Elephas maximus indicus: one gene and its partner. The protein of the gene in region 2 interacts with the protein of the main gene of each other region in a pairwise test. Links are inferred from orthologs where the notes say so. Each region holds a gene or a part of one and is shown on either strand. Other genes may lie near its edges. The genes, in order: YWHAH and BAD.

Region 1 (14,684 bases), on a different chromosome or scaffold from region 2:
CACTTTGTGGTGCTTGTTACTACAGCCTAGAAAACTAAGACACCATTACTTGCTGAACTTTCAATGGTGAAACGCCCTAGACTATCAGAGCTGCCACATGCCAGTATGGGCTGCCATTTTATTTTGGCAAAATTTGCATAACAAAATTCACCATTTTAACAATTTCAAAGTGCACAATCTGATGTGGCATTTAGTATATTCACAGTGCCCTGCAACCATCATCTAGCTCCAGGATATTTTTATCACCATTCTTTCCGCTGCTGCCCCCATTAGCAGTCGCTCCCTAGTTCTCTCTCCGCCCCTGGCAGCCACCAATCTGCTTTCTGTGTCTATGGATCTGCCTATTCTGAATGTCTCATATAAATGGAATCATCCAGACCTTTTGTGTCTGACTTCTTTCACCGAGCATAATGTTTTCAAGGTACACTCGCATCGTAGCCTGTATCAATACTTGACTGATTCCTTTTGATGGCTGAGTGAGATTTGATTGTATGGATATACCACATTTTGTTTATCCGTTTATCACCTGGTAGACATCTGGGTTGTTTCCACTTTTTGGCTATTGTGAGTAATGCTACTATTTGTTTAAATTGCTTGGTCATATGGTTACTCTATGTTTAACTTATTGAGGAACTGCCAAACTGTTTTCTGCAGCTTCCCATTTTACAGATAAGAAATCCAAGGCTCAGAGCGCAGAAGTAATGAGTCCAAGGGCCCTCAGCTATGGTTACAAGCAGAGGCGAGTACATGCAGGTAGGGGGGATCAAGGGACTCTCTAATCCTGACCCCCAGTTTTTCCAGACCGCAGCAGCCCCTCCTTGCCTAGGCCCACCCAGAGGGAACCAAGCAGAAGCTTGAGGCAATTATCCAGATGGTTTAAGCCAAAGGATCTAGAAATTTCTGGCCAAGAAGCACAAGTTACCCAGCCAGCTACAGAACTGAAGCAAAAGCCTTTTCCTCTCTCATTTTAACTGTGATTTCATAAGTGACAGCTTTGTCTTTCCCCCAGAGCCAGGCTCCTCTGAACATGCTTTAGGGGGGCGGGTGGTGAGAATGGGGCTCTGAGCTCCACCAGCTCACAGATTGCAGCTCCCAGGACATTTTCACACTTCTTAATGCCAAAAGCTGCCTTAAGAGCCAATCTGCTCCCCAAGTGCGCTTTGGAAGAGTGGTGGAAGGCTCTGGGTCAATCCAGAAATCTGTGTGCTCAGGCTGATCTTAGACACAGGGGTGGAATTTGATATCAGCAAAAGGACCCAGGGCCAAGGCGAAGGAGCAGAAAATGGCGTGAGCTGGAGGAGGCCCTGTGACTGCCTCGACCATAGAGCAAGAATCTGGCCTCTCTTGGCTTAGCTTCCCCATCCATAAAATGGGGATAACCAACCACCCCCCAGGGTTGGAGGATTTAGTGAGATAATATATGTAAGTGATTAATAAATAAGAGCTGCAGTTAGCATTATCATATTGGCTTCGGATCAGCAAGGTCACGCTGGCAGCAGGCGGCCTGCGTTTGGAAAAAAACACGAAAAGTTAAAATCCTATCTGGGTGACACAGATCTGTGGGCAGGTGACCCCTCCTGCTCAAGATGGTAACCATGCCAACAGTGTAAATACCATCTCCTTGGAACAAAAGGGTCCTCTCTGTAATATGCTCCTTGTTGTCCAGGCTCCTCAAGGAGTTCAGAGCAGCCCAGAGTATTGAAGAAAAAGAAAAACAGACGTGCCTTTTCTGGGTCACCTATTCTCTGGGCTCCAGCTGAGGGTTCTGGCAATGCTTTAGAAATCTAGTCGAGTGCAAGGAGCATCATCACTGGCTTACAGAGTGGTACACAGCCAGGAATTACCATGTGCTGCTCAGGCAGACATAGTACAGACATGCTCTTGCTGATTCTTACAAGCACCCTAGGAAGCAAGTGTGGCTAGACCCATTTTCTGGGGAGAAAACATAATCACAGAGGACAAGTGCCTTGCCTAAGGTTACTCTGGTAAGTGGCAGAGCAGCTCTAGAACCAGATTCTTTTCCCCCATCACACCACACACAGTTCTCAGGAAGCCAGGGGGGTGGGGTCTGTTCCTTGAGTGATACACTATGCCAGGTGAAGATGCAAACCTGGACCCTGCTATGGGACCTGCTCTGGCCCCCTAAGGAAGGAACACATTATGTTTAACATTAACCATTGGCCTCCTTCACTTCGCTCAGGAGCTCTCTTTGGAGTTGTTCCAAGGAGATAATTGTTGATCAAAACTTGCCGGTAGCTTCTGTTGGGTCGGCCTCTGACTCATAGCAACCCTGTGCACAATGGAACAAAATGCTACGTCCTGCGCCACCCCCATATAGACCGCAGATCAGACTGTTGTGATCCATAGGGTTTTCAGTGGGTGATTTTCAGAAGTAGATGACCAGCCTTTCTTCCTAGTCTATGTTAATCTGGAAGGTCCACTGAAACCTGTTCAGCATCATAGCAATATGTAAGCCTCACTGACAGACAGGTGATGGCTGTGCACGAGGTGCACTGGCTGGGAATGAAACCTGGTATCCTGCTTGGAAGGCGAGAGTCCTGGGAACGCGTGCCCTGTCCAAGGTGGTTGTTGTAATCTTTGTTTGTGAGGTTTTGAGGAGTTGGCAGGTCCCTGGGCGGCAAAAACAGTTTGCACTAGACTACTAACCTGAATGTTGGGCAGTTCAAATACACCCAGTGGTGCCACAAAAGAAAGGCCTGGCGATCTGCTTCTGGAAAGATTACAGCCAAGAAAACCTGATGGAGCAGTTCTACTCTGTAACACATGGGGTCGCCGTGAGTTCGAATCAACTTGATGGCAATAGGATTGGGTTTTTTTTTTTTTTTTTTGGTGCGCGGTAGTTGGTAGCTCTCTCTCCGGCGCAAAAGGAGATGGATGCTGGTAAGTGTACAGGCTAAAAGGTTGGAAGTTGTGTGTGCGTTTCACAATGTGAATGACTTTGAAAAAGGAGTCACGTCTGAGCTTGTCTCAGCGAAGACCAGGGCAGCATGGGGCCATCAGGCTTGAGAGTCTGAATCTGGGGGCCCGAGTTTGAATTGTAGGTCTGCTGATGACCAGTTGTATGACTTCGTTCAAGTCACGGAACATCTCTGTGCCCATTCCCTCACCTGTAAAACAGAAATGGAAATTGTACCTACCTTACAAAATTTTTTTTTTTTTTTACAGGGGGAGCCTGAGGAAAAACTATGACCATCCGTGGTGCTTGCAACATGGTAGATGTCTCCTTCCTCCCAACAGTGAGGGTGGACAAGGTCATACAGGAGGGGGCAGAGTGAGAAGATGGCCTGGGACAGAGCCCTGAGGAACCCTGCATTTCAGGGTAGGCCTAGAAGACGAGTCCACACACAAGACGAAAGGCGTGGCCAGAGGAATGGAGGGGAAACCAGAGTGTAGGGTCATGAAGTCAAGTGGAGAGTTTTAAGGAGGGGTGGCAGGGGCAGATTACCCAATAAGCAAGATAGGCACAAGCTTAGCCATGCTGATTTACTAATATACAGTGCACAATTTCACCTGGTAACTGGCAAGACAGGTGAAATTGTTCACTTCAGATTAGTAGGTAAACACAATTAAGCCGTGCTACCTTGCTTACTGTATACGGTGCATACAGTGCCCTGGTTAATCCACCCCTGGGTGAGAGCTGTGTCCAAGAGGACCAGGAGGTGAAGAGTACCCAGTGTCCTTGTATTTGGCAACAAGAAGGCCACACATGGCCTCGAAGAGGGCCATCTAGCTGGAGGAGTGGGGACAGAGCCAGAGCACAGTGGGCTGAGCAGCGGGTGGCAGGTGAGGAAGTGGAGAAAGGGAAGTTTGGTGAGCAGCAAAGAAAGGCTTCCTGGAAGAACTCATCATTTATGAACCTAGCCAAAATCAATTTAGAATGCTCCAGCTCTGTATTTCACTGTTTTGGATTCAATCTCAGCCCAACATGATCAGAAAAGCAAAGCCTCTAGGACTAGAAGTAGTTGTGGGGGTCCCCCCAACCAGCCCTGGACCCTTCTCCACCTCCCACTGGAACCCCATCCTTGTGGGGGTGGAGGAGAGGATTAATTATTATCTAGCATTTTGTTTAGCATGCTCTTTAAAGATATTCACTAGGGGGAGGATCAGCCTGGTTTGTTAACCTTGATTCCATTTCTAGTCAGCAAAGGTGATTCTACGAAGCGCAGTTAAGCCTAGATGGGGCGTCCTGGACCCACAGCGAAATCCTGTTCCATGGGTGCCGATGTCCTCATTTTAGTATTCCAAAGGGGAGAAGAAGGTCCGGGAGGCAGGAAACCAGGTATGTGCAAATGGGGATGGCCGCTCCTCTCCCTAAGTCCTCAGTTTCCCTTTATGCAAGAAAAAAGGATAGATAGGTTTTTTTTCCTTAAGGGCCCTGCTTGCTCTGACATTCCAGGGTGCAGATTTCTATTCCAGTCCTTTCAATAGTCCAAGTCCAGTTTTCCAGATGGCAAAGCTGAGGTCCAGAAGACACCCAATCTTCAGGCCCTGCCTTTTCACCCCTCTAATATGTATCTTACTCTCCAGAGCCAGACTCATGTCCTGAACTATGACTTTCACCACCTCCAAAAAAAAAAAAAAACCAAACCAAACCTACTGCTTTAGAGTTGATTCCGACTCATGGAAACCCCTCGTGTTACAGAGTAGAACTGCTCCATAAGGTTTTCTTGGCTGTAATCCTTATGAAAGCAGATCACCAGGCCTTTCTTCCGTGGCACCAAAACAAAACAAACCCATTGCCACTAAGTGGATTCCGACTCATAGCGACCCCACAGGACAGAGTAGAACTGCCCCATACGGTTTCCAAGAAGCGCCTGATGGATTCAAACTGCAGACGTTTTGGTTAGCAGGCCAACTTTTTTTTTTTTTTTTATTGTGCTTTAAGTGAAAGTTTACAAATCAAGTCAGTTTCTCACACAAAAACTTATATACACCTTGCTACATACTCCCAATTACTCTCCCCCTAATGAGACAGCCTGCTCTCTCCCTCCACTCTTTTCGTGTCCATTTCGCCAGCTTCTAACCCCCTCTACCCTCCAGGCAGGACATGCCAACATAGTCTCAAGTGTCCACCTGATCCAAGAAGCTCACTCCTCGCCAGCATCCCTCTCCAACCCATTGTCCAGTCCAATACATGTCTGAAGAGTTGGCTTCGGAAATGGTTCCTCTCCTGGGCCAACAGAAGGCCTGGGGGCCATGACCACCGGGGTCCTTCCAGTATCAGACCATTAAGTATGGTCTTTTAATGAGAATTTGGGGTCTGCATCCCATTCCTCTCCTGCTCCCTCAGGGGTTCTCTGTTGTGTTCCCTGTCAGGGCAGTCATCTGTTGCAGCTGGGCACCATCTAGTTCTTCTGGTCTCAAGATGATGTAGCCTCTGGTTCATGTGGTCCTTTCTGTCTCTTGGGCTCGTAATTACCTTGTGTCCTTGGTGTTCTTCATTCTCCTTCGATCCAGGTGGGTTGAGACCAGTTGATGCATCTTAGATGGCTGCTTGCTAGAGTTTAAGACCCAGATGAGCAGGCAAACTCTTAACCACTACATCAACAGGGTTTCCTCTGTGGCACCACTGGGTGGATTTGAACTTTCAGTCTTTAGGTCAGTAGTGGAGCACCAACCATTTGCACCACCCAGGGATCTTTCACCACCTCAAAACCAAAACATATTGCTGTGGAGTTGATTCCAACTCATACTCATCCTATAGGATAGAGCTGAGCTGCCCCATGGGGTTTCCAAGACTGTCATCTTTACAGGAACAGACTGCCACATCTTTCTCTCATAGAGGGGCTGGTGGGTTCAAACCTTTTGGTTAGCAGCCCGGCTCTTAACCACTGCACCTAAGAATAAAACCTCAAATACTCAGTCTGGCATTTAAAATACTCAGTAATCTCGCCCCACCTAACCTCATCTCCCACTGCCAGGTCTCACTTCTCACCCTCAAATTCTGTTCCTATCTTCACTGCGAAGCCTTTGTCCAGGCTACATCCCACTCCCTAATAATACATTTTTCCTGACTCATTTTCTTCAAGTCCAGCTTACCTGTTCTTGAGTATTTAGACCTCAGCTTCTCAGGGGCAAGGGCTGAATCTTAACTCAGTAGCTTCCTATCCTCACTGCTGAACATGCAGTAGGTGCTCAATAAAATTCTCAAGAGAGTCCACCGCCCCCTCTCCTGGCTAGAGTCGGCAACTTGTAAGTTGGGGCGGTGTTTAGTCCTAGTGATTTTCTTAGCTTGGCTAGCGCCCAGGCAGGGCGTGAGGGACCTTCAGCCCTCAATTGCCAGGGCTGGGAGGGGCTTACTGACTAGCCTGCCAATCCGCCGCCCTCTTCCCCTGCAAGGAGTCCAGGCTGAATTTGAACCCAGATCCTGACCCCGCCACTTAACAGGCTGTGTAACCCTCAGCAAGTCACTAGTCTCACTCTGCTTCAGGTTCCACATTTGGAAGGTGGGAACACCAGCTGGCTCACTCTCGAGCTGGGTTGTGGTGATCAACTAGAATGCCGGTACAGGCCCAGCACTGGGCGGGCTCCTAGGAAGTGTGCTGTGACTGTCCTCTTGTGGAAGGCACTGCCTGCAGCCCAGGGAAGTGTGGACCTGATCCTGCCAGGCCAGTGCAAACCAGACTGCAGGGTGTGGCCCGCGAAGCCGCTGGCCAGGCTGGGCTCCGGTCAGGCGGGACGCAGGGGCCGGCCGGCCCGGCCCGCCCTGGGCCCATGGCCTCCAGCTTCTCCACGCAGTGGCTTTCCCTTCTGGATTCTTCTCAAGTCAGACAGCTAATGCGGCTTCAGCGGCGCTTTTCCGGATGGGGCTGCGACATCCCGCTGCCTGTGCAGCCACCATCACCGCGCCCCTCCCTGGGCTCCGCAGCGTTCCAGCGCCGCTCTCGACTCCCACCTCCACCTCTGCGGCAGTAAAATGCAGCACTCGCAGAGCGCCTGCGCGGCTCCGGGGCGGGGCGGCGGCGGCGGCTATTTATAGTAGGTGACGTCACCTTGAAATAGACCGTTAGAGCCGGCCCGCCTTCCCCCATCTCCACTCCCGCCTCTCCGCGCCACCCCTCCGGGCAGCTCCCACTGCGCAGGCGTCCTTCCGCCCCCCCACCTCAACGCACCGCCTCTCTCCCTTGGCGGCGTCCGCGGCGGAGCCACAACGCGCAGGGCGAGCCAGTGAGCGGAGGAAAGCGGTGCTGCCTGCAGCCTCGGGCCGGCCGGACCCAGTGCGCGTGCGCAGCGGCTTCCGCGGCGACCAGCAGCAGCGGGCGAGAGAGCGAGCGGGCTAAGGCGCGACGACATGGGGGACCGGGAGCAGCTGCTGCAGCGGGCGCGGCTGGCCGAGCAGGCGGAGCGCTACGACGACATGGCCTCCGCCATGAAGGCGGTGAGCGCGGCAGGGGCCCGGGCGGCCGGCGGAGGCCCAGCAAGGGAAGGAATGGGCGGCCGGCAGGGTCTGCCCTAGGACCTGGGCGCCCCCGCAGGGCGCGGCCGCCCGCCCGCCCGCAGCCTGCGCTTCCCGCGCACGCCGGGCGCCCCGCCATTTCCTGCGGCCGGCCCCAGAGTGGGATCTGTGGGCAGGGAGCCGCTCACGGTCGCCAGTGCTGCCCCACGGGGACGGGCGGCGGAACCCTCTTTGGGGGCGGTGGGTGGGGTGTCGCCGCATCCCAGCTAGGAGCCCTGGGGAAGGGCAGGGGGTGCCCGAGGGAACGTGAGGGAGCCACGTTCCTCCTTCCAGATCGTTGTTTCGGCACCTGGGGGCCCAGCCCCTCTCACCGTCCCCCACCCCACCTTGTAGAACCCTCGAGCGCGTGGAGCCGTGTCTGCTGCTTTTCTCTGCGAGACCTGCAGTCGGGGTATTCCGATCTGCCTGGCTCTGCTCGCCCGAGTTGTTCTCGTTCCACCTTCCCACGCTCGACTCGGGCTTTGTGTGCGGAGACCCCTTCCTCCAGCCGCGGCGGAGGGCGGGCCGGGGCCCATTCTGGCTGTGGCCCGGGTTCGATGCGGCGCCCATCTGCCTGGACATTAAAATGAGCGTGATTTCTAGATAAGACGAACCTGTGTGCCTTTCCTTTCCCGAGACCCTCGTAGATTGAGTCTGCAGCTTCACCGTCTGCAGCTTCATTTCCGGTGAAGGAGTCGTGCCAGCCACACCCTAGCAAACGCTGTGGATTAGACACGACCTGCGTTTCTGAGATTTAGAGTTCCGCTTGTTTTCTCCTATCCCTGTCTTCTCACAGTATTTTACATTTTGTCTAAACGAACATTACTTCTCTCTGCCTCAAGGTCATGCGGTGGTGGACCTACAACTGGAGCCACCAACCTGTGTTTCTTCGTCCAGTGTACAACCTCCTTAGACCTGGAAGGGTCCCCTTGGCCCCACCTTAGTCCTAAAGATTCAGAAATTCAAGGGAGTGGGATTTAAAATCTGCATTTTAACCAGTTCCTCTGGCCAGTTTTTAGTGAATTTAAATGTGAGAGTTAATGCCGTGGATTATAGCTCATTTGCTCTTTGCCCTTTCACTGGCCTTGTGAAGGGATTTATTAAAGAAAAACTCAAACCCAGAGGTTCCCTGAAATTTCAGATTCTTTTGAAATGCTCATTTAAAAAAGGCTTTTGGTATTAACATATAATATGTGGTTGAGGCCAATTTTTAGGATTATCCAGGTAAAAAAGGTGCTTGAAGACATTTCCTGTGGTGGTCTTATTATACATTTAACTAATTGTGTTTGGAAAGCAACTACAGGCCCCTTTGTGCATTCATTGGTGATCTTGACTTGAGCACTGTAGTGTGTGGTTGTCAGATAGGAGCTTTTCATCCAAACCAGGGCAGGATCTTAGTTTGGGGTCTGAAGTTTATGTAATTTTGGGGATCCTCTTTAAGAAAACACAAGTATAAAAATATATTAACGTTGCAAATTTTACAGAAACAGGACTGATTGTGTGAACACGTTTCCTTGGAAGGGGCCCTGAATCGTTGTTTTCTCTGGAATAAAATCACCTCTGTGCATACAGCAAGTCACACCTTAAGTGAGCCTGTTCTCCCCTGGTACTGGAGTGGTACTGGGATCATGCAGGCTGAGGCCTTTCTATAGCACATTTTTGTGAGGTATTTTGCTCACCAAGGCTGCAGTCTGAGGAGGCCTTTGAGGAATAAGGATGCTGAAAGTAGGGCTAGGGTGTGAAGGAAGGTGAATTGAAGTTGAGAAAAAATGGCTAGAGGATACATTCTGGAGCTAAAGGAAATGCGAGGCAACTTGAATGGGAAGTAAGAAGAGAGAGAATGGGAAGGGATTACCAGAATGAAATTTGGGCAGAGAAAAAAAAAAATTGGCTTTCTGGTCTTCATAAACAGGCTTAGAAAATACTATCCTGCAGCTAGCTACTTCATCCACAGATTTTTCTCTGAGGCTTTAAAATAGCATTTTACAAGCTACTGTACCCTTCATTTTGCTGGAAATCTCTAATATCTATATCTGAAATGATTGGTGGGTCGGGCAAAGCAGCAGCATTGACCGTTCATTCCAAGTTTTAATTATATTATCTCAAAATTGTGATAAACCATTTTCTCAAGGAAATTCCTAGTTAAAAATATGAACTTTTTTGTCTGTTTCATTTATTTAAAACATTTTTATTTCTCATCTAAATTAATGGGATGTATTTGTTGGAAAGAACTTGGCAGGGGTCAGTGGGAAAGAGTTTATGTTTTACCTATTAAGTTGGCATTTGTAGATTGAATTCTTCATAAATGTTTTTGGGAAGGTACAGCCCCTGTTTTATTAACATTATAGGCCTTAAATAGAGCTTTTGGAAAGAATTTGAATTCTAGTAACCCTCTGGGCTTATGGGATTTTCTTCAGGATGGTGGATGGGCACATAGACTGCTGGGGAGGGGGTGATGTTCAGGCACCACCACTCTGCAAGGTCGAACCTTAACATCTTTGGCCTCAGTTTCTCTTAAAGCGTAAAAGTAGGAATGTTGGTGTTACTAACAAGTCAGCCTCCAGCCCCAGTCTTCTAACTTGTTTTCTATTTTCTTTGTAATTTAAGTGGTCGCCTACTAATAATGCCTGCTTGTAATGACTGATGTCCCTTATGCTTGCCAGTGTCACCTGGAGGAGGATATCATAAGCTTTAAGAAAAATCATGCATATTGGAAACAACGGTGTTACCTCAAATTGAGAACTTAAATGTCCTGCCTCACCCCATAATTTGAAGAGGCAAGAAATGTTTCTGAACTGAAGTAAAGGAATATCTTCAAGCTCTTCTCATCTCTCTAGTACTTTTATCATAGACATAGAAGTAATAGTGGGATGAAACATGGAAGATTCTAGAACCCGAGTACTTTTTAGGCGAGGCTTTGAATAACCATACACAATTCATAACCTCTGCAAAACTGATATAATAACATCTTATGAGAGCTGAAATAAAACTATAAAGTCAGATAGAAATATAGCTTGTAAGACTAAGGAAAGAAGGTAAATAACCAGGTAACTTTCTGGTAAATATTCATGGATGGAAATAATTCAGTCATATCTCTTATTGTTCTAAACTTTCTATTTTATATTAAAACTAATATAGATGGTAATTTTGTAGCTATGAAACATTATTTGAGAAAGCGTGGTATATTTTAACATGATACGGGTTAATTATATAAAGGACAGGGAGAAATATGGCTGAAAGACTTCAGGGATACCTGTAGAAATCTTAAGTGCAGGAAACAAAGCTGCAGCATAAGAAAACAGCAGTCAGAGAGGAAGAGGCACTTGGCCCAACTGGTGGCCCAAGGCTCTTATTCCAACAGCTGTGAGATTATTGGAATGAGCAGGTGGTATGTAAAAGGAGAGCTCGTGCTGGGCAGCCCAGGATGAGACGTGCTGCAGATAAAAAAACCAAGGGTGGTTTCGAGGTGCACCAAAATTGTGGTTAAAGCAGTGTTGCCACTAGAATTTGAAATACGTAGAAGCTAGTGAGCCCTGTTTCCCGTTAACTGGTCACTTGAAATGTAATTATCACTGTCATGTATCTGTGAGGATTCTGGCTTCTTGTAAGAGAATATTGCGTCTGAATGTTGGCTGCTAACTGAAAGGTTAGTGCTTTGGGTCCACCCACCAGGTCCCTGGGTGGTACAAACGATTAATGTGCTCGACTGCTAACTGAAAGGTTAGTGGATTGAGTCCACCCAGAGATGCCTTGGAAGAAAAGCCCAGGGGTCTGAAAAATCAGCCATTGAAAACCGTACGGAGCGCGGTTCTACTCTGACACACTGGGTTGCCAGGAGCTGGAATTGGCTGGATGGCAACTAGGAGTAAAGGCAGCAGACAGTTCACATAGCTTTGCTGTGCTGAAGTGGGGAGTGTGGGTTGGAGGTTCCTGAATTAGCCCCAAAAGAGCTCCACGGTCAGGGACCCCACCACACCTCTTTAAAGAAACCAAAAATGTGTTTCTCCTTTGGGATTTTACATTAGTGGTAAACTGCAGTGTCGTACTTTTCCAGAGATATGGTCTGGAAAGGGGGTATCCCCAATGTGTTTTCCATATTACAATTCACCAAGTTTATGGAATTTTCTTTATCGTTTTACTTACTAACCCACTGCCGTGGAGCCAATTCCGACTCATAGCGACCCTAAAGGACGGAGTAGAACTGCCCCATAAAGTTTCCAAGGGAGTGCCTGGTGGATTCAAACTGCCGACCTCTTGGTTAGCAGCCGTAGCACTTAACCATTACGCCACCAGTACTCGGTAAATGGTAGCAATTATTCCTTACGTATACAACTCCATATGGACACTGTTGTTAACTCCATGTTGTAAATGAGGATTAAAGAGATTAACTAACTTTCTCATAAACAGCTAATAAGTTGTGAAGCCAAGATTTAAACTCTTGAATTTAGAGTGCTCCATGAGGCTAAGGAATAATATTTCTAGTGTACATTCTGGTGTTTTTGCCATTGTTGTAATTGGTGGCCAAATTCTGAAAAGCGAGCTTATTAAATATTAAACTTAAATAATTTCATCAATTGGGTGTAAGTGATTTTTTGCCAAGGTCGATTAAAAACAGAATTTTCCACTTTTAGCTAGAGCAGAGAGGCATAAAAGACAAACTCACAAATCTGGCTTTTGCTTGTTCTCCTGAAGGCCGGAAGTTTTTTTTTTTAATTGCTTAAAAAGCAAAGTATTGAATTTGAGTCCCTGCTACGGACTCAGGAATGTAGGATTGCTAAATTATACTTGTGGTATTTTGAGAAATCCTTTAATATCTGTCTTGTCACCAGTTCTTCCATATTAGTGTATTTTATAAGCCTGTAGGGCCCCCACATTTCAATCTCCAGGTTGTTGGTAAATTCCTCCTGTGTCCCAGCTGAGGCAGCCTGTCTCCCCAGCGTTGTGCTCCTCCCAGTCCTTGCTGCGGTGTGGCATTTCCTTCTTTGGTGGTGGGTGTTGGCACTTCTCTGATAGGAACCTGGCACAGCTTCTGAGGACTTCAGCCCTGGTGCCTCCGGAACAGTAGCATGCAGTAATGCCATTCAGATGGCGTTGCATTTGATCCCTGTCAATCCGTACGAAAATGTCCAATTATGTCAAAAACAGGACAAAGACGTGAGAAAAGTTGTAGAACAACAACAAAAAATCAAATTCACAAAAAAGACCAGACTTACTGGTCTTAAAGATACTGTAGGAACCCCTTGAGACTGTGGGCCTAAGACACCCCTCTGAACTGGATCTGAAGCTGGTCCTGGAGTCCACCTTTCAGCCGAACTATGGACAGGTCAATAAAATAACACCTGAGAGGAACACGCTCCTTAGAACAACCAATTATATGAGAATGAAAGGGTGACATTTGCACAAAAGCAAAGATGAGAAGTCAGGAAGGGATAGAAAATCAGGACAAAAGGAAACGGACCTAGGATGGAAATGGGAAGAGTGCTGACGCATTGTGGGGAATGAAGCCAGTGTTACCGAACGCTGTATGTCAAACTTATCAAGTGGGAAGCTTAATTTGCTTTGTAAACTTTCATCTTTAATGCACAATAAAAACAAACAGGACAAAGGAAGTCTCCACTAACTTTAAGCTTAGGGTTGATGTTAATTCAGGGCTTTGAACTGGTTGGTTCTGGTTCTAACCCCTGCTGAGAATTTGCAGTTCTAATAAGTTCACAGAGGATGCTGATACTGCTGGTTAGGCACTACTAGTAGAGCAGTGGTTCTCAGAATTTATTACACATAAGAATCACCTGGGGATCTTGTTAATAACTAGATTCTGCTTCAGTACGTCTGGGGTAGAAATGCAGATTCTCAGCAGGGGTCGAACCAGAAGAAACCGGTTTGAAGCCCTGTATTAATTAAGCTTGTCCTGTCTGGTGGCCTCATAGAACTGCAGCCTTGCCATAGTGTGGGTAGGGGACTCAGCCAAGCCCTGGCTTGGGAATGTTCCTTGCACAGTGGCCAGGAGAGAGTGGTTTTGCCAGGCCTGGGCAAGTGATGACTGATGGCAGGTGCTTTGCCAGCTTGGGACCAGGTAGGATCCTCACTTTCAGGGCATTGAAGTTTGAGGAAGAGCTTTTGTTCTTTCTAGCTCCCTTTTTATATCTCAGGGTTCTGCAAAGAAGTTTGGAAGGTTTTATGATGTGGTTATGTTTACATAATTGTTCATGAGAATCGTTTTCATCTGTTACAAACTCATCAGAAGGAGGCTCCTTGGTAGTGTGTGTGGGTATGAGTATAAAGGGATGGGATGGGACTGCTTGTAAGTGTGTGTGTGAGGGGGAGTGTAGGTGCAGGTGTGGCTATGAAGGATGGGAGCAGCGGTCGGGAGAAGTTAACATTGACCTCCACTTTGACAGTAGGGCCTGGCAGCTCAGGGGTGGCGTTTTTTGTTCAGTGTTATTTGTGGTGTTGGATGTCTCCCAGATTAAGAGTTTTAACTTTTCCCGAGTAGTTCCTGTGCTATTTTTGGCAGTGGGTCTATTTTTACTCACAAACACATAGTTTATTGCCTTGTGCGTAGTGGGAGGAGGCCACAGAGGGGTTTTTGAGTAAGGGAGTGGTGTTTTAGGAAGATAAGGGAATTAATAACAAGCCAGGTTCTTAGGCTTTGTGGGTAGTTCCAGAGCAGAGAAAATGGGTGAAGCAGGTCCCCTGGGGTTGGAAGTTGGCGCAACTGAAGGGTGTGTGGTGAGGACACTGGTAAAATGACTGGCAGAGTCCAGTGGTCCCTAAAGGAAGTGAAGTGGAGGGCCTTTATCATATGGAAAGAGTTTGAGCAAGTTTAAGTGGGGTGGAAAGGTGAGCAGGAGAGGGAAAATGTAGAGACGCTGTGGGCGGAGGTGGGCGTGTAGCCACGTGAAGACTTGGTGTCCTGGAGTGGGTGTGCTGAGGGCAACTGATGTGTGGTGGAAGTGTGTTGTAACTGGTGTTGGAGTGGAAGGAAGGTTGAGAGCCATTGTTCTTTTATCTCAAATATTGTGTCTGCTTCATGTTCTTAATTAGAAGCTGTTTTGGAAATTCAAGTTTGTAAAGATACAATAAATCTCATCTCCATAGAATCTGCACGTGATGACCCAGTGTGGCTGGGACTAAAAAAAAAAAAAACCAAACCCTTTGCCGTTGAGTAGATTCTGACTCATAGCCGGTAGTGCTGTCATTTTCTTTCCCACTGTACGACATTGTCTCT
Region 2 (14,459 bases):
GTTCAAGCTCAGCTGGCTAATAAAGGGTAGAGCCGAGGTTGAACTCCGACAGTTTGGCCCAGAGTCGGATACCAGGCTGCTTCTCCCACTGCGTGTTCTTCCTTCCTTCCTGTTCTGTATGTTTCTACGATGATCTCAAATCCCATAAGGTTGAAGTCACTATTATGCTTTCAAAACACATGTATAAGCACTCAAAATATGAACTTAAAAATAGAAATATGTATTCTTTGTGAGACTCTCTAACATTAACTGTAAGTCATTACTTAACGTGGCAGTCATAAAAGTTATTTAGAAAATTTCTGAACTTAGACTTGGAAACACAGAAGCATGTGAAGTGTGTAAAGAACATAAACAACCTTTAAGTTCACTTTGACCTGAGGTGCTGTGATAAAAAAAGACATAGCTAGAATAAACTAGAATTGAATCATAAATGTAAACCACCTCTAACCTCTAACCTTGAAGAGGCTATGCAAGATATGTGTCATAACAATACTACTCTTTGATGTCACACTGGCCCTTGCTTCGTGTGGACCCAAGGTGACAAATTCACATAAAAACCATAAATTTCTCTTCACTTACTGAGAGAAGGCAGAGATGGTACCGAGATTCTGTCCACCGTAGCTGCTGACCTTGTACCCAAGCTATGAGGGACCTCGGCTGAGTTTGAGCCGCGGTTAAACCTTCTTCCCAAGACCTCTTGTTAAAGGTAAAAGCCTGAAGTCTAAAGACTGGACTCTAACCGTTGAACAATCGTACCTGTTAATTCTAATTCTTCTGTCCCAATGAATGCTGTGATGTCTTACTTGCATGCCTTCCCCTAACTACCTTGCAGTAAACTAAACTGGAGTTTATGCGTGGCAAACCTGAGTATTAATTTTCTAAGGTTTCTAAAATCCGACACAACACTTCCCTTCGCCACCCATGCACCCACAGGGGCTTGCCACGCACCCAGCCCATTTCAGGCACTGGGCTGTGCACTAGAGTTATAAAAGCGCACAAGGCGGTCCAGTCACTGCCCTTGGGGCACAGAGGCCAGACAGGAAATGTGAAGAGATACCACCAAGTGTGAGCTGAGAGGGGGCAGTGACCACATGGCTCTGGCAGGTCATTGGCACTTATGGGATTTTTTATGGGAAATCACTAAGACATTGAAAAGTACATCAAAAGCATCCTGTGTAGCCCTCTGAGATGGTGGCAGTTTTCTCCCCCGCAGCTGTCCGTAGGCTAGGTCTGGAGCTGGGGAAGTCCCCTGGCCCTTCATTGCTATTTCAGATGGTTCTCCGTCTGTGTCACCCCTTCCCCTCCATGCCCCCCGTGTCCTCCACCTGCAGGTCACAGCCCACCTTTCTGCCCAATGTCACTCCCACTTTCTGCATCACTCCGCTGGTCCTTATTGATCCACAGGTGTTTCAATGTACCCGTAAGCAATTCTTCCCACCTCCTAGCCTTGTGCCCTCCTTCCCCCATCATCTTGGCCCCCAGACTCTCATCCCCATGGGTATAACCCAGACCTCACTGAGAAGAGATTGGGCTGGCTGAATGAAATAAAGGCTACATTTCAAGGCCCTGTGTGCTTGACCAGCTATAATTAGTCTCTGAATCTAAACCTAAGTGCAGACCACCGTACAACTTTTGCTCCTGGCACCCGAAAACTACTTGTGATTAACAAACTAGGTGCTTAGACAAGATAAGGGGCTACATTTCAAGGCCCTGTGTGCTTGACCAGCTATCAATTACTGATAATCCTCCCGAGTTGTTTTTCAAGGCATCACCAGCTGCAGAGCACGCGCAGTAAAGATCAACATGGACTATAAGTGACCTTCCACGTGAGACAAACATGAACAGGGACCCCTCGCCGGGGCTCAAACCAAGATCCAGAGGCATCACGCATGCACAACATCCCAGAATAAGTCCTGTTTGACCTCCCGGCAGCCTTTGTGACAGACTCCATCTTGGTTCCAGCAACCTCTGTGAGGAAGTCCATTTTGAATTCTAACTGAGCACCCATTTGATTTTCATAATCCCTCTCCTTCTCATCGAAATCTCCACCCATCTAACAAATAAAGATAATGCATTCCTCCCATCCCCCCCTCCACAAAATTTTATAAGCCCTAGGGAATCCTCTGTCCAGTGAGAGACTGGAAGCTAGCATAGGTGGAAAGCCCTCTCCCTCTCTCCCTCGCGAGCCTTCTACCCTGTCCCTAGCAAACTTTTGTTCGTGTGGAACCTCTGAGCCTCTCCTGGCCATTTGTGGTCAGAAGAAGGTAAGAACCTAAGCAGGGCTTAGTCCCGAGCTGGGAGCTGGGAAGCCCTGCCCTGTAACATCATCACTGCCAATAACAGCAGCCCACTGACCGCCACCTACCTGTCCAGTTCTCCCCCTCTGGTGCTTGGCTCCAACGACACCGCTGCTGTGACTCCCCAGGGGCTTGCCCGCTATGGTCAGCCAGTTCTTGTCCCTTCCTTGCACACACCCTCAACCCCTTGCTGGGACAAACAGCCTTTTTAACTCCGCTCCCCTGCAAGTTCCCACTGAGAGCGCAGCCACGCCGCCTGCTCTCACTTTAAATTCTCGGCCACAAAGCCCAGTTGCACCCTCCACATTGCCCACCACTGCTCCCAAGTTTCAAACCTGCTCCTATCTCCCCACAGCCCCACCCCTCCTCCCTATCCCCACTCCGGGCTTCCTTACATGGAAGAGAAACTTCTCCCAGTTCCCAGGCTGCATCTACATCCACTCTGCCCCTCCCAGAGCTGCTGCCTCCTGCCTCTAACAGAGAAGTTGCCTCACCAGCCCCCTCCTCAGGTGCCATGCCGGCCCACTGTCCTGCAACACCCCTGCACCGTGGAGTGGACCCCTCTCCCCTGGATGGGTCCCAGTAGCCTAGAAACCTGGTATCTTCTTCTTGGATCTTAAAAACCAACCCTCTCTTGACTGTCCTGCCTTCAGCTGCCACCCCATCCTCTGCTGCTCTTTGTGGGAGCACAGCTGTCAAGAGTGGGTTCTCCCGTCTGCAGTTCTTCTCTTCCCAGGATTTCTACCCACAGCTGTCAGAGCCCCTCCCCCATCAAATGGCCCCAGGTGTGGCCTCCATCGCCAACTCTCAGCCCTTACTGAGGAGTGGGCCGACCCCCGCCCCAAGCGTCCCACTCAGTTCATCGCCCACCCGGCATTCACCACCATGCAGTGGCTGGCGCACACCCCTCTCTTGGTTTCCTGTCCACCTCACTGCCCGCTCCTTCTCAGTCTCCCTTGTGGTTTCTCCTCCTCTTGCACTTAAGGCTAGAACGCAGCCCAGCCCTCCGTCCTCTCCAGATGCTCGCCTCCAGGTTCCTGGGCCTACGTACACTGAAAGGCCGACCACTCTTCATTTATAAATGCTGCCAGGGCCTTTCCTCCGCTGGAAACCCCCACTTGGAGGACTAACGGGCACCTCTAACCTCACATGGCCCAAAATGGGCTCCCTATCTGCCCCCCACCCCAAGGCTCCGTCTTGGTTAAAGGAAACTCCATCCATCCTTCTGGTTGCGCAGGTGAAGCTCCTTGGAGACCTCCTTGACTCAGCTCTTTCTATTCGTCTCTCAGCAAGTCCTGACAGCCCCACCTTCACAATCAATCCAGCTCCTTCTCACCACCTCCACTGCCACCTCCCTGGCCCAAGTCACCATCTTCTCTTGCTTTATTTACAGAAGAGAAACCTGAGGCTCAGAGAGGTTATAGACTCACCCAAAGCCAGCCAGTAAGCATGTATGTGGCTGGGGTGCAGAGAGCTACTGGGCAGGCGGTGATCTTAGGGGGTTCCTACCTCCAAGGTGGCCGCTGCTGGTCGGCTGCCTCTGCTGGTGACTGGCGTCCCGCAACAGCCTCCCCTCTGGCCTCCGCTTCTGCTTTGCCCATTACAGACCAGTCTCAACATTGTGGCCCCAGGCACTCAGCAAACCTGACCAAGTCCCCTCTGCTCTCAGCTCTCTACTGTTTCTTTTCAGAGTATACGCCACAGCCCTTACAATGGCCTTCGAGGCCCTGCCCAGGCCACCTGTCCCCCTCATTAACTCTGATGGCATCTCAACTATTCTCCCCTGTACCTTCTTTCTCCTCTCCGGCCTCACTAGCCTGGACCACGACTTGCCTACGGGACTTTGCATATGCTATTCCCTCTGCCTGGTACTCTCTTCCCACAGACACTTGTGTGGCTCACCCATATCCCCTTCAAGGTTTTGCTCAAATGTTGCTTCTTACCAAGGCTGACCCTGACCCTGGCATCTCAGTTAAAATCCCATGGCCAGTCCTCAGGACTCACCTGACTCTGTTTGCATACACGCCCCTCTCCCAAGCACACATTATCTTCCCAGACATTATAGCATTTCCCTGTCTGCTTGTTTGTTTATGGCCTGTCTCTCCAACCCCACTAGAATGTAAGCTCCACAAGGGCAAAATTTTCATCTCTGTGGTCACTGATGAAGGAGTCCTGGTGGCGCAGTGGTTAAGGACTGGGCTGCTAACCAAAAGGTTGGCAGTTCGAACCCACCAGCCACTCCAAGGGAGAAAGATGTGGCAGTTTGCTTCTGTAAAGATTTACAGTCTTGGAAACCCTGTGGGGCAGTTCTATTTTGTCCTGTAGGGTCGCTAAGAATCAGAATCGAGTTGATGGCAACGGGTTTTTAGTCACTGATGTGCCCCTAGAAACGGGGACAACACGTGGGACCTGATAAAAGGAGGAAGAGAACACTGAGGGGGTCCCAAGGAGGGGTGGGTACGTGTTGTTATTCGCCTTCCAGTTGATTCCCACTCATGGTGAACCCATGTATGTCGGAGTAGAACTGCTCCGTAGGGTTTTAAGGCTGCGATCTTTCAGAAGCAGACGGCCAGGCGGGTCTTTTCAGTGCCTCTGGGTGGGTTCGAATCACCAACCTTTCAGCTAGTAGTCAAGTGCTTAACCGTTTGCACCACCCAGGGTCTCCTACTAAGTACTCAATAAGTGGAGGAAGAGAACGATGAGGGAGCCCAAAGGAGGGGTAGGAAGAGCCAGGTTGGGTGTGGAAACAGCTGAGAGCAGAAAAAGCTGCTTGAGGATCCTCTGCAATTCAGCCTGACAGGACAGAGTGTGCAGGAAAGAGGGAGGGGAGGCCACCCAGGCCTTCCTGTTCCTGAAGAAAATGGGAGTTATATAAGCTTCGGTGGGTAAGCGACATGGTCTGGTGTGTGTTTTCAGAAGGTCTCTGTAACTGTCTCAGGTGCCAAGGCCCGTCCCAGGCACCAGGCACGTGAAGACTATAGACAAATGGCCACTGCCCGCCAACGTCCTTCCATCCGGGCTGGGCCTGAGTAGGTGGGAAGGGCAACCAATAGCCTGTGCTGGAGAGTAGACAGCTCTTTCCAGCAACTTCCCACACCACCCCCTACATGGCCACTGCCTGGGAGGACTGTCTGCCACTTCAGGTAACCTGCCCCAGCAACTGTGCAAAAATAGCTCAGTCCTAGGGTAAGCAGGTAGCCTACGGCAGGATGTAGCCTGGACAGGCCACCAAGGAGCCTTCCACCCCTGCCTCCTACCAAAGGTACCTCAAGCATGACCTTAGTCAAGTCACTTCCCCTTTCTTGCTCTCTGCCTGCTCCTCAGTGATTTCTGTCCTGGCCCTACAACAACAGCTACGTTTTTTGGAGCATCTCCGATGTGCCAACACTATGACAAAGTGCTTCCTATATATTGCTACTAATTGCCCCGAAAACCCTACAATAGTGATGTGATTCATTGCTTTATTTACAGAAAAGGAACCTGAAGCTTAGAGAGGTTATAGACTCACCCAAAGCCAGCCAGTAAGCATGTATGTGGCTGGGGTGCAGAGAGCTACTGGGCAGGAGGTGATATTAGGGGGTTCCTACCTCCAAGGTGGCCGCTGCTGGTCGGCTGCCCCTGCTGGTGACTGGCGTCCCGCAGGAAGCCTGGGGCCACACGGTGGCGGTCGCTGGGGCCTGAAGGCCAGTACCCTTCGGGGCTGGGGCCCAGGGCCCTGTCTGCAGGGGTGGAGTCTTCCCGGTCACTCTGCTCAAACTCTGGGATCTGGAACATACTCTGGGCTGTGGGGGCAAGATGGTGGGTGGTTAGGGCACAGCCGGAGCAAACGGGAACCTGTGGGGGTACAGCAGAGACGTCCCTGGCTCACTCTCTGCCCCTAGAGCCCGCCTGCCTCCCAGACTCATCTGTCTGCCCAGTCTGGCTCTGCCGGGTGCTCAGCCTGTCCAGCTGGGACCTAAATCTTCCCTTGGAGCACTGGTGCTGTAGGGCAGCCCCAGACCCCCACCCAGGCCGTCTCTCCTGGGATGACCGCACACAGGTCTCACCCCAAGCCCGATCTCGAGGCCCCTGACCCGGGCCTGCCGTCTCCCTCCAGTACTGAGGGCGCCCTGCCCTAGTTGCTTGGGCAACGGGAACTGTCACCGGCCTGGCCCAATCAACTCGTGAAATGTCACTCGGGCTGGACAGGAGGCGGGCCCACTCTATACCGGCCCCGCCCCACCGCCCAACCTGCAGCCCGCCCGATGATCTCCTGCGTCCCTTCTTCTTCTCCGGATGTTCAGCTCCCGACATCCTCACGCCTTGGGCGTGTGTGGAAGCCGGTGAGGGATTCTCTGGGGGCCTCCATTTGGAGCCTGGAGACTCGTTTCTGCTGATAAGCCCTTCAGCCCCTCCGGGGCTTAGTTTCCACCCCTGTAAAATGGGGATAATGACACCTCCCTCCGGAGCCAGTGAAAACTTTGTAAACAGAGTGGTGATTACTGTGGCTGAAAGCACTTTGCAAAGTCGCAGTTGACAGTCAGAAGTCGGATGCAATGACTTGCTGTTGTTACGGTTCTGGAGGGGTGATGGGGTCGGCAAGTCCCACTCCGTCCTCTTCCCTAGCGTGGGAACCGCGCCGTGGAAACCATGCCGCCCGCAACAGGGCACCACTCCCCGCGCCATCTCTGGAGCATCCGAGATAAGAGAGGGAGCCTCCACCCTGGCCGGATGACTGCCCGGGGCGCAGAGAAGGCGCAGGGACCCCTGTGAGGGTGACCCATAGTACTCGCGACGGTTTCGCCCCTGGCAGGCAGCATGCAGGCGGCCGGCCAGGTGAGCGGGCATCACCGCGGCGGGCCAGTTCTTGGGGCTGGCTGCCCAGCGGGGGCTCCGGGGTCCAGCGGTTTAAGACCCGCGGAGTCGGGGGGGAAGGGAGGCAGACCCGGAGGCCATCTTGGCTATGGGCGGAAGTTCCCTTCACAGGCGAGGTGACGAGAAATCGTTGCCGCCCCCCGCCGGGGACACGATCCGGGTTTGGGCATAGAGAGGAGAAGGATGGGAGCTGATGGGCCCCAAACCAGCAAAGGCCAGTGGTCCAGGCCACGGCCCACCCGAGCGCTAGTGGAATGGGGCGCGGCTCCGGCGTCTAGGCCGCCCGCCGCCTCTCGTAACCCCTGGAGCCCGCTGACGGCGCACCTCGCGCCAATTCTCGAACGGCCCCACGCCGGGCGCGGCGCGGGGCTGCGGAGCCGAGGTCTGCCCCTGCGCAATTTGCGTAGCGAACGGCGCCCGCGCAGGCGCAGAAGGGGGCGGAGCAGCGGGAGCCGGGGAGCCGGAGCCCCGGGTCCCGGCGACCGGAGCCGGCTCCCCCAGCGGCGGTCTGAGGACCAGACGGCGGTCTCCACCAGCCCCCCGCGGCTGGAGAGGAGACGCGGTGGGGGGTGGGGTGGAGGAGCGTGCGGAATCCCGAGGAGAGAAGGCAGAGGCGCCCCCATTCGGATTGTTGGAGGGGAAAGAACCCTCCTAGCCTGAGGAGGGGGAGAGCGGGGCTTTGGGGCGCCCCCTGCAGGGGCCGATACCCTGAGCGGACGCGCATCGCCGGCTCTCCCCCTCCTGCTGACACCGGCACGAGTCAGCACAAGGCCGGGGATCCCTCTCCTACAGCCTCTGCACCTATCCACCTGGCTCTGGGGTGGCCCAGGGAGGAGACCCCCATCTACCCTGGAGAGGAGAGGCTGTCCTTTCACGCCCCTGAGTGACGGGGCCGGGGCCCAGGCTGCCTGTGCCCCGCAAAGACGAGAATCCCTCTGGTGAGGGGAAGGACCTGGCCAGCCACAACGCCTTGCCCCCTGAGCTCCCTACCTCTGTCTCAGCACCCACCCGCAGTCCCCTCCCCTCCGTATTTATTTCCCTGGGCACTGGCCAGCCCGTCCATCTCTGTCTTCTCCGGGATTCAGGCCTCCCTCCCTGATATGGAGAGTAACCTGTCTGGCCTGGTGCCTGCTGCTGGGCTGGTGCCTGCGCTGCCACCCGCCGTGACCCTGGGGCTGACCGCCGCCTACACCACCCTGTATGCCCTGCTCTTCTTCTCCGTCTATGCCCAGCTCTGGCTGGTGCTCCTGTACGGGCACAAGCGGCTCAGCTACCAGACGGTGTTCCTGGCACTCTGTTTGCTCTGGGCTGCGCTGCGTACCACCCTCTTCTCCTTCTACTTCCGAGACACCCCTCGAGCCAACCGCCTGGGGCCCCTGCCCTTTTGGCTTCTCTACTGCTGCCCTGTCTGCCTGCAGTTCTTCACGCTGACGCTAATGAATCTCTACTTTGCCCAGGTAACCGTGGTAGTGGGTAGTGGATGGGGGCTGGTGGGGGGTGTCAAGCGCCAAGGGCCATAATGAGTGATGGGCATTTCTGCACCCAGGTGGTGTTCAAGGCCAAGGCAAAGCGTCGTCCGGAAATGAGTAGAGGCTTGTAAGTACTTGGGGCCCTGATGAGCTCTGCCTCCAGGCCAGGGGCAGGGAGCAGCCCAGTGTCCATCCTTTCCTACCTCAAAGGGCTGAGGCAAGGGCAACCCAGGGAATGTTTGTGAATGAGGTTGTTGTTGTTGTTAACTGCTGTCTAGGTGGCCCCCGCTTATGGTGACCCCACGCACAACAGAAGGAAACACTGCCAGATCCTGTGCCATTCCCATTGGAAAAGTTAAAGTACCTGGCACAGATGGCTTAGCAGAGGCGTTGCGTATGTGAAAAACAACAATAATAGAAGCAGTAGCGATACTGCGAGGGGTGAGGGTACCAATGTCATCCATGACAGAGGATGCTCCGAAACCAAACTGCACCCTGGGTGACATGGGCCTATGGTCCCGCTGTTATTTACATAAAGTTTTACAGTTTTATAAAGAGCTTTTACAAACACTGTTAATCTTTATAACTAACCTGATATTATCCATATGTGAAAGATGAAAGAACTGAGGTCCAGCAAGGTAAAGGAACATGTTCAAGGTCACAGAGCTGGCAGGAGGCAAAGCCAGGACTCAGACCCAGATTTTTGACTCCCAGTCTCAGGCTCTTTCCACTGTATCACAGCCGTCAGCTACCGCCTGACTTCTTTGGACCTCAGTTTCCCATCTGTAAAACTAGAGGAGCAGGGTTCAGGTTGAAAGATCTGTGGTTCTGATCGGCTCTGGGGGCTCCTTTGGGAGGTTAGGTGAGTGGTGAGCACCAAGTTCAACCTTCTGGGCTGACTGTGCTGTGGGCTGCAGGCTGGCCGTCCGAGGGGCCTTCGTGGGGGCCTCGCTGCTCTTTCTGCTGGTGAACGTGCTGTGTGCTGTGCTATCCCGCCGGCGCCGGGCACAGCCCTGGGCACTACTCCTGGTGCGCATCCTGGTGAGCGACTCCCTCTTCGTCATCTGCGCACTCTCTCTTGCTGCCTGCCTCTGCCTTGTGGCCCGGCGGGCCCCTTCCACCAGCATCTACCTGGAGGCCAAGGTAGGGCCACAGGCTCTAATGCCTGGGTGTCCTTTGGGGTGTCTGGGCAGCCATGTTTGTTGGACAGCAGCCTTCAGGATAGAAAGGAGGCTGGAATCCACTCCTTCCTGATGGTCACCGTTGTTATCTGTGGCAGGGGACCAGTGTGTGCCAGGCAGCTGCAATGGGTGGTGCCATGGTCCTGCTCTATGCCAGCCGGGCCTGTTACAACTTGGCAGCCCTGGCCTTGGCCCCCCGGAGCCGGCTGGACGCCTTCGATTATGACTGGTACAACGTCTCTGACCAGGTGGGCGTTCAGCAGGTCTGCTGCCTCCTAATAGCCATGGCTCCTGGTCCCTGTCCCAGTGCCCCATTGGCACAAACGCAGATTGGCGTGAATCCCTGCCTTCCCCTAGGCGGACCTGGTGAATGACCTGGGGAACAAAGGCTACTTGGTATTTGGCCTCATCCTCTTTGTGTGGGAGCTGTTGCCCACCACCCTGCTGGTGGGCTTCTTCCGAGTGCACCGGCCCCCACAGGACCTGGTGAGTGCCTCCACCTTCCTCTGCGGGCCCAGTGGAGAAGGGTGGATGCTGGGAACCCTTGGGCTGGGCTGGGGGGTGGTAAGGGAGCTTGGTGGGGGCCAAGAGAAGGCATCCATGGTGGCTTTTTCCCCTCCCCAGAGCACCAGCCGCATCCTCAACGGGCAAGTCTTTGGCTCCCGATCCTACTTCTTCGACCGGGCTGGGCACTGTGAAGATGAGGGCTGTTCCTGGGAGCACAGCCGGGGTGAGAGCACCAGGTAGGAGTCCCTACCCTGCCTCAGGCCCCCTGAGCCATGGCCCTCCCCCAAGGTTTTTGTTTCCTTGTCAGTATGAGGTGAGGCCCCCTCCTTCCCATCTCCCCCTACTCCACCCAAAGATGCAGTTGGGCAGAGTCTGGGGAGGGGAGCCCCTCCCACCATGCTCTGTTCTAAGCCTTTTTCCCTCTCCCACCTCTTGTGAACGTGGTCCTGGTCACTGCCCTGGGACTGACCTGGTTTCTCTACCCACAGCATGTCAGGCAGCCTAGGCTCCGGCAGCTGGTACGGCTCCATCGGGCGGGAGCCGAGCTGGTGCGGGGGCAGCCAGACGCGGACTACTCCTCTGCTCTTCTCCCAGGTGCCGGGACCAGGCGGCCATCACCACAGCCTCTACTCTACCCCCCAGACGTGATCCCCCACCCTTCTAGGATGCCCAGACCCCAGTTCCCCTCCCCCTCAGGCCCCTGAGTCAAGTTCATTTGCTGCTTCTTGCCCAGGATCCTAGGGGCTGTAGCCGCCTCCTTCCCTGGCCGGCTCTTCGGCTGCTCCTGTTGTAGTGAGCTTGTGCCACCCCCTAGGGTGGGGGACATGGCCCTGGCTGCCAGATGCCCACAGCACCCTGGCATGACCTGCCATCTTTGCTTCCACACCAGAGCCAGCTACCTCTCCTGCATCTGCCACTCGATAAACAGTGTCTGTGCCCAGTGTTCATTTGTCTGCTTCATCTTCCTCCCTCATCGCCACCGTTTTGGTCAGCTTCCTGCCTTGACCTCATGCTGATTAGACACTGGTCCTTGAAGGCAGCCATTAGCCTGGGCTGGGGCCACTTACTGAGGTGGGTGGGCAGGGTGAGGAGGAGCCTGCTGTTTGAGGGAGGGGCAAGGGAGACCATTCAGCCCTTTGTTTTCAAAGCTCTCTCGGCCCAGAAAAACCCCATTCATGCTGCAGTCCCCTCCCCACTTGAATAATTTCTACTCTTTTATCAGGATCTGTTCTAAATGTCACTTCCTTTATGAAGCTTTCCATCCCTTGCTCACAGAACAGTGGCCCCTCTCCTGGGCCCTGTATCCCTGTGATTATGTGATTATTATGCTTCTTGGTCCCTATCATTTGGGATTTTGGAGCCTGTTTCCCTGTTACCACCCCCAACCTGACCTTCAGGTGCCAGGGGTTAGCCCAGGGCCTGCAGAGGTGTCGACATGGTGACTGAGCAGCCTACACCTCTAGGAAGGTGTGAGTTTCGCCTGGTGGGTAGGGCACCCCCACCCCTGAGGCCCTCTTTTCCCATGTGCCCACAGCCTGTTAGCCTAACATAGATCTGCCCCACTGCTGGCAACCTTTATTAGAGGGTTTCTCTCCTGCCCACATACCTGACTGCCCCAGCTCCTAGGGCCCAGCACCAAGCTTCCCTGGCAACCCTTCACCTGGGACTATCCTGGCATCAAGCCCAAAGGGCTGCCAGATAGGGCAACTGACCAAAAACCACTTGTGGTGGAAAAGGACATAGCTAATATTTGTAGGCTACTTTATTGTGTGCCAGGCTCAGTTTTGAGCATTTACACACTCCAACCTCTAATGTTTAGAACAGCACCTTCGGTGATCATTCACCATCCCTCTTGTGTAGATGAGGAAGAAAAAGCTCTGGAATTAGGTGACCTGTCCAGGTTTCCTACTGGGAGGGGTTGGTCAACCCTAAAGCCGAGCTGGAAACACGTCAAGAAGGCTGAGGTCTGGAAGCAGCCAAAGAGGAGGGTCTTTGGAGATGGGATGATAGCATGGAGGGGCAGCGTTCCAGGACCAGAAGGGGGCCCTGGTTGTGCAGGCAGTGGGGGAGGGAGCGCTGGCACTAGTCCATGTTGGGACTGGGGGGCAGCTCCTGGTCCAAACCCCTGGGGCTGACCCCTGGGCATAGAGTTGAGCACTAAGTGGGGGGGGGGACAAGGAGGAGGTGCAGGGGGTGCCGCAGCAGGGACTTCCCAGAGCTGGGTCCCAACCCCCACGCCAGCCAATCCCAGATGGCCTCTGAGGGATCCTCCAGCCTTGGTCCCGCGGGGACCCCCTCCCTTATGGTGCCATCCTCAACAGAGTGCTGAGCCCAAAGACCGAGCTGTCCCCAGGGGCGGGGAGATAAGGGCCCATCCTGATCCAGTAATGGGCCTTGGAGAGGCCCGGAGACTAGCGTGGCGCCGGTCCGGAGAAGTGGGCCCACTGATGTTCAACCGGGGACCAGCCGGCCGGCGGGACAGCACCAGGGCTCCAGTCCGAGACTCGAGGCTGGATCCAGCGGCGCGCCCTCTCCGACTCTTCTGCGATCCGCCGCTCCAGGCAGGGCTGGATTGGAAGGCCGGCGGCCGCAGGTAAAGGGCTGCTGGGGCAGCGCCGGCGGCGAGGGAGCGGCACCGAGGACGGCGCGGCGCAGGAGGGGTTAAGCGGGGGGGGGGGCTCCCGGCAGCGGGAGGGGGTCTCAGCCCCGGCGGCCGCCCGCTCCGCCCCTGCAGCCGCCGCCTCCGCGGCCCAGCCGGCACCGGCGAGGCGGTGCGGGAGCCGGGCCGCAGCAGCAGCCGCAGCGTTGCAGACAGTGAGTGCGGAGGGTCAGGCGGGCGGGGCAGGGCGGGGCGCCCACCACCGTGCGGGGCGCCGTCGGGAGTGGTCCCACGCTGCCCGTCACGCTTGGAGGCGTGGGCGTGGGCGCGCGGAGAGGCGAGAGAGAGCGGTGCGGCGTATCTGGGCCGGCGCGTGCTGCGCGGTGGCCCGCGGTCTGGTGTGTGTGCGCGCGCGAGTGTGCACACGTGTGCGCGGACCTCGGGGCGCCTCCGCGCAGCGCGCACCGCATGGGGTCTGGGGTTGTCCGGGAGAGTGCGGGCGTGTGCAAGTGGAGGGCGTGCAAGCAGCGGGGCGGCGGCGCACGCTGGAGCCACAGGACGGAGCGGGGGCGCGCGGGGCTTTGTGCCCGCGGGCGGTGGAGCGTGTCCTGCGCGGGTGCTCGTGGGCGCCTGCGCCCGCCGGCCCGGGGGCTGACGGTGTCTGTGGGCTGCTGCGCCGGTCCAGCCCTTCCCGCCCCCGCCGCTCCTTCTGGGAACCCGGCGCCCTCCCTCTCTGCGCAGCGGCGGGACCCGCCCCTGGGTTCCTCGAAAGCCCGGCGGGGCGCAAGGGGGGCCGACCCGGCGCAGCTCCTGCAGAGCTGGGAGAGGCAGGAGAGGAGAGAGAAGCGGCGAAAATGCTGCCTCAGCCGCAGCCAGCGAACCGGGACCTGCCATCCCTGGTCCCCGCCCTGCGCGGGCTGGCCTTTCTGTGGGCTTCGCCTTCGCGCGCCTCCGCACCCCTCTGCCTCTGCCTCAACGGCCCGGACCTAGTGGTTTTCCACGCCCACTCCATGCCCCCAGCTATCCCTTCGCACGCTCTGTCTCTGTTTCCTTTCGATTGCCTTCCTTTCCCTCCCGGTGCCCTCTTGTCTGCTCACCCCCTGAGTACCTGGACAGGGGCTGAGGGCCGGGCAGTGGAGGTAAGGGATGGGCCGACGACAGTCTGTGCAGTGAGTACTTGGTGGACCTTGGCACCAAGCGTCCAGCCAGGGGATGTGAGGAGGCGGCATCCATGGGCAGTAGGGCCGGGGACTCCAAGGACCTTAGAGTGTGTAGGGGAGAGACAGGTAGGGGGTAAGGGTGTCAGGCCAGGCTATTGATCCCAGCATCCCTCGTTCTGCCCACAGTGACCACAGCTCCCCAGGAGTCCCCTGCCCGGCCCCCCCAGGCGGGGAGTGGAATTGGCCGGACCCCTGGCCGCGCCATGCGCAGCACAACGCTGCTGGCACTGCTGGCCCTGGTCCTGCTGTACTTGGTGTCGGGTGCCCTGGTGTTCCAGGCTCTGGAGCAGCCCCACGAGCAGCAGGCCCAGAGGGAGCTGGGGGAGGTCCGA

Evidence for each region.
Region 1: the proteins of BAD (region 2) and YWHAH interact in binary tests that used the Homo sapiens proteins (3 or more experiments, as listed by UniProt). The link is inferred for Elephas maximus indicus from reciprocal best matches to the Homo sapiens genes BAD and YWHAH.

Annotation. Positions count from the first base shown.
Region 1 is NC_064840.1:24,246,276-24,260,959, reverse strand, and holds the start of YWHAH (14-3-3 protein eta), read left to right. Parts: upstream 1-7,084; 5' UTR 7,085-7,312; coding exon 7,313-7,399; intron 7,400-14,684. UniProt on the Homo sapiens protein: Adapter protein implicated in the regulation of a large spectrum of both general and specialized signaling pathways. Binds to a large number of partners, usually by recognition of a phosphoserine or phosphothreonine motif.
Region 2 is NC_064825.1:127,462,092-127,476,550, forward strand, and holds the start of BAD (bcl2-associated agonist of cell death), read right to left. Parts: upstream 6,542-14,459; 5' UTR 6,528-6,541; intron 6,435-6,527; exon of another isoform or gene 6,344-6,434; intron 6,080-6,343; 5' UTR 6,072-6,079; coding exon 5,885-6,071; intron 1-5,884. Other genes in the region: integral membrane protein GPR137, read left to right, coding at 6,542-6,619, 8,237-8,608, 8,698-8,747, 9,538-9,763, 9,900-10,049, 10,159-10,287, 10,426-10,544, 10,797-10,956; KCNK4 (potassium channel subfamily K member 4), read left to right, coding at 14,331-14,459. UniProt on the Homo sapiens protein: Promotes cell death. Successfully competes for the binding to Bcl-X(L), Bcl-2 and Bcl-W, thereby affecting the level of heterodimerization of these proteins with BAX. Can reverse the death repressor activity of Bcl-X(L), but not that of Bcl-2.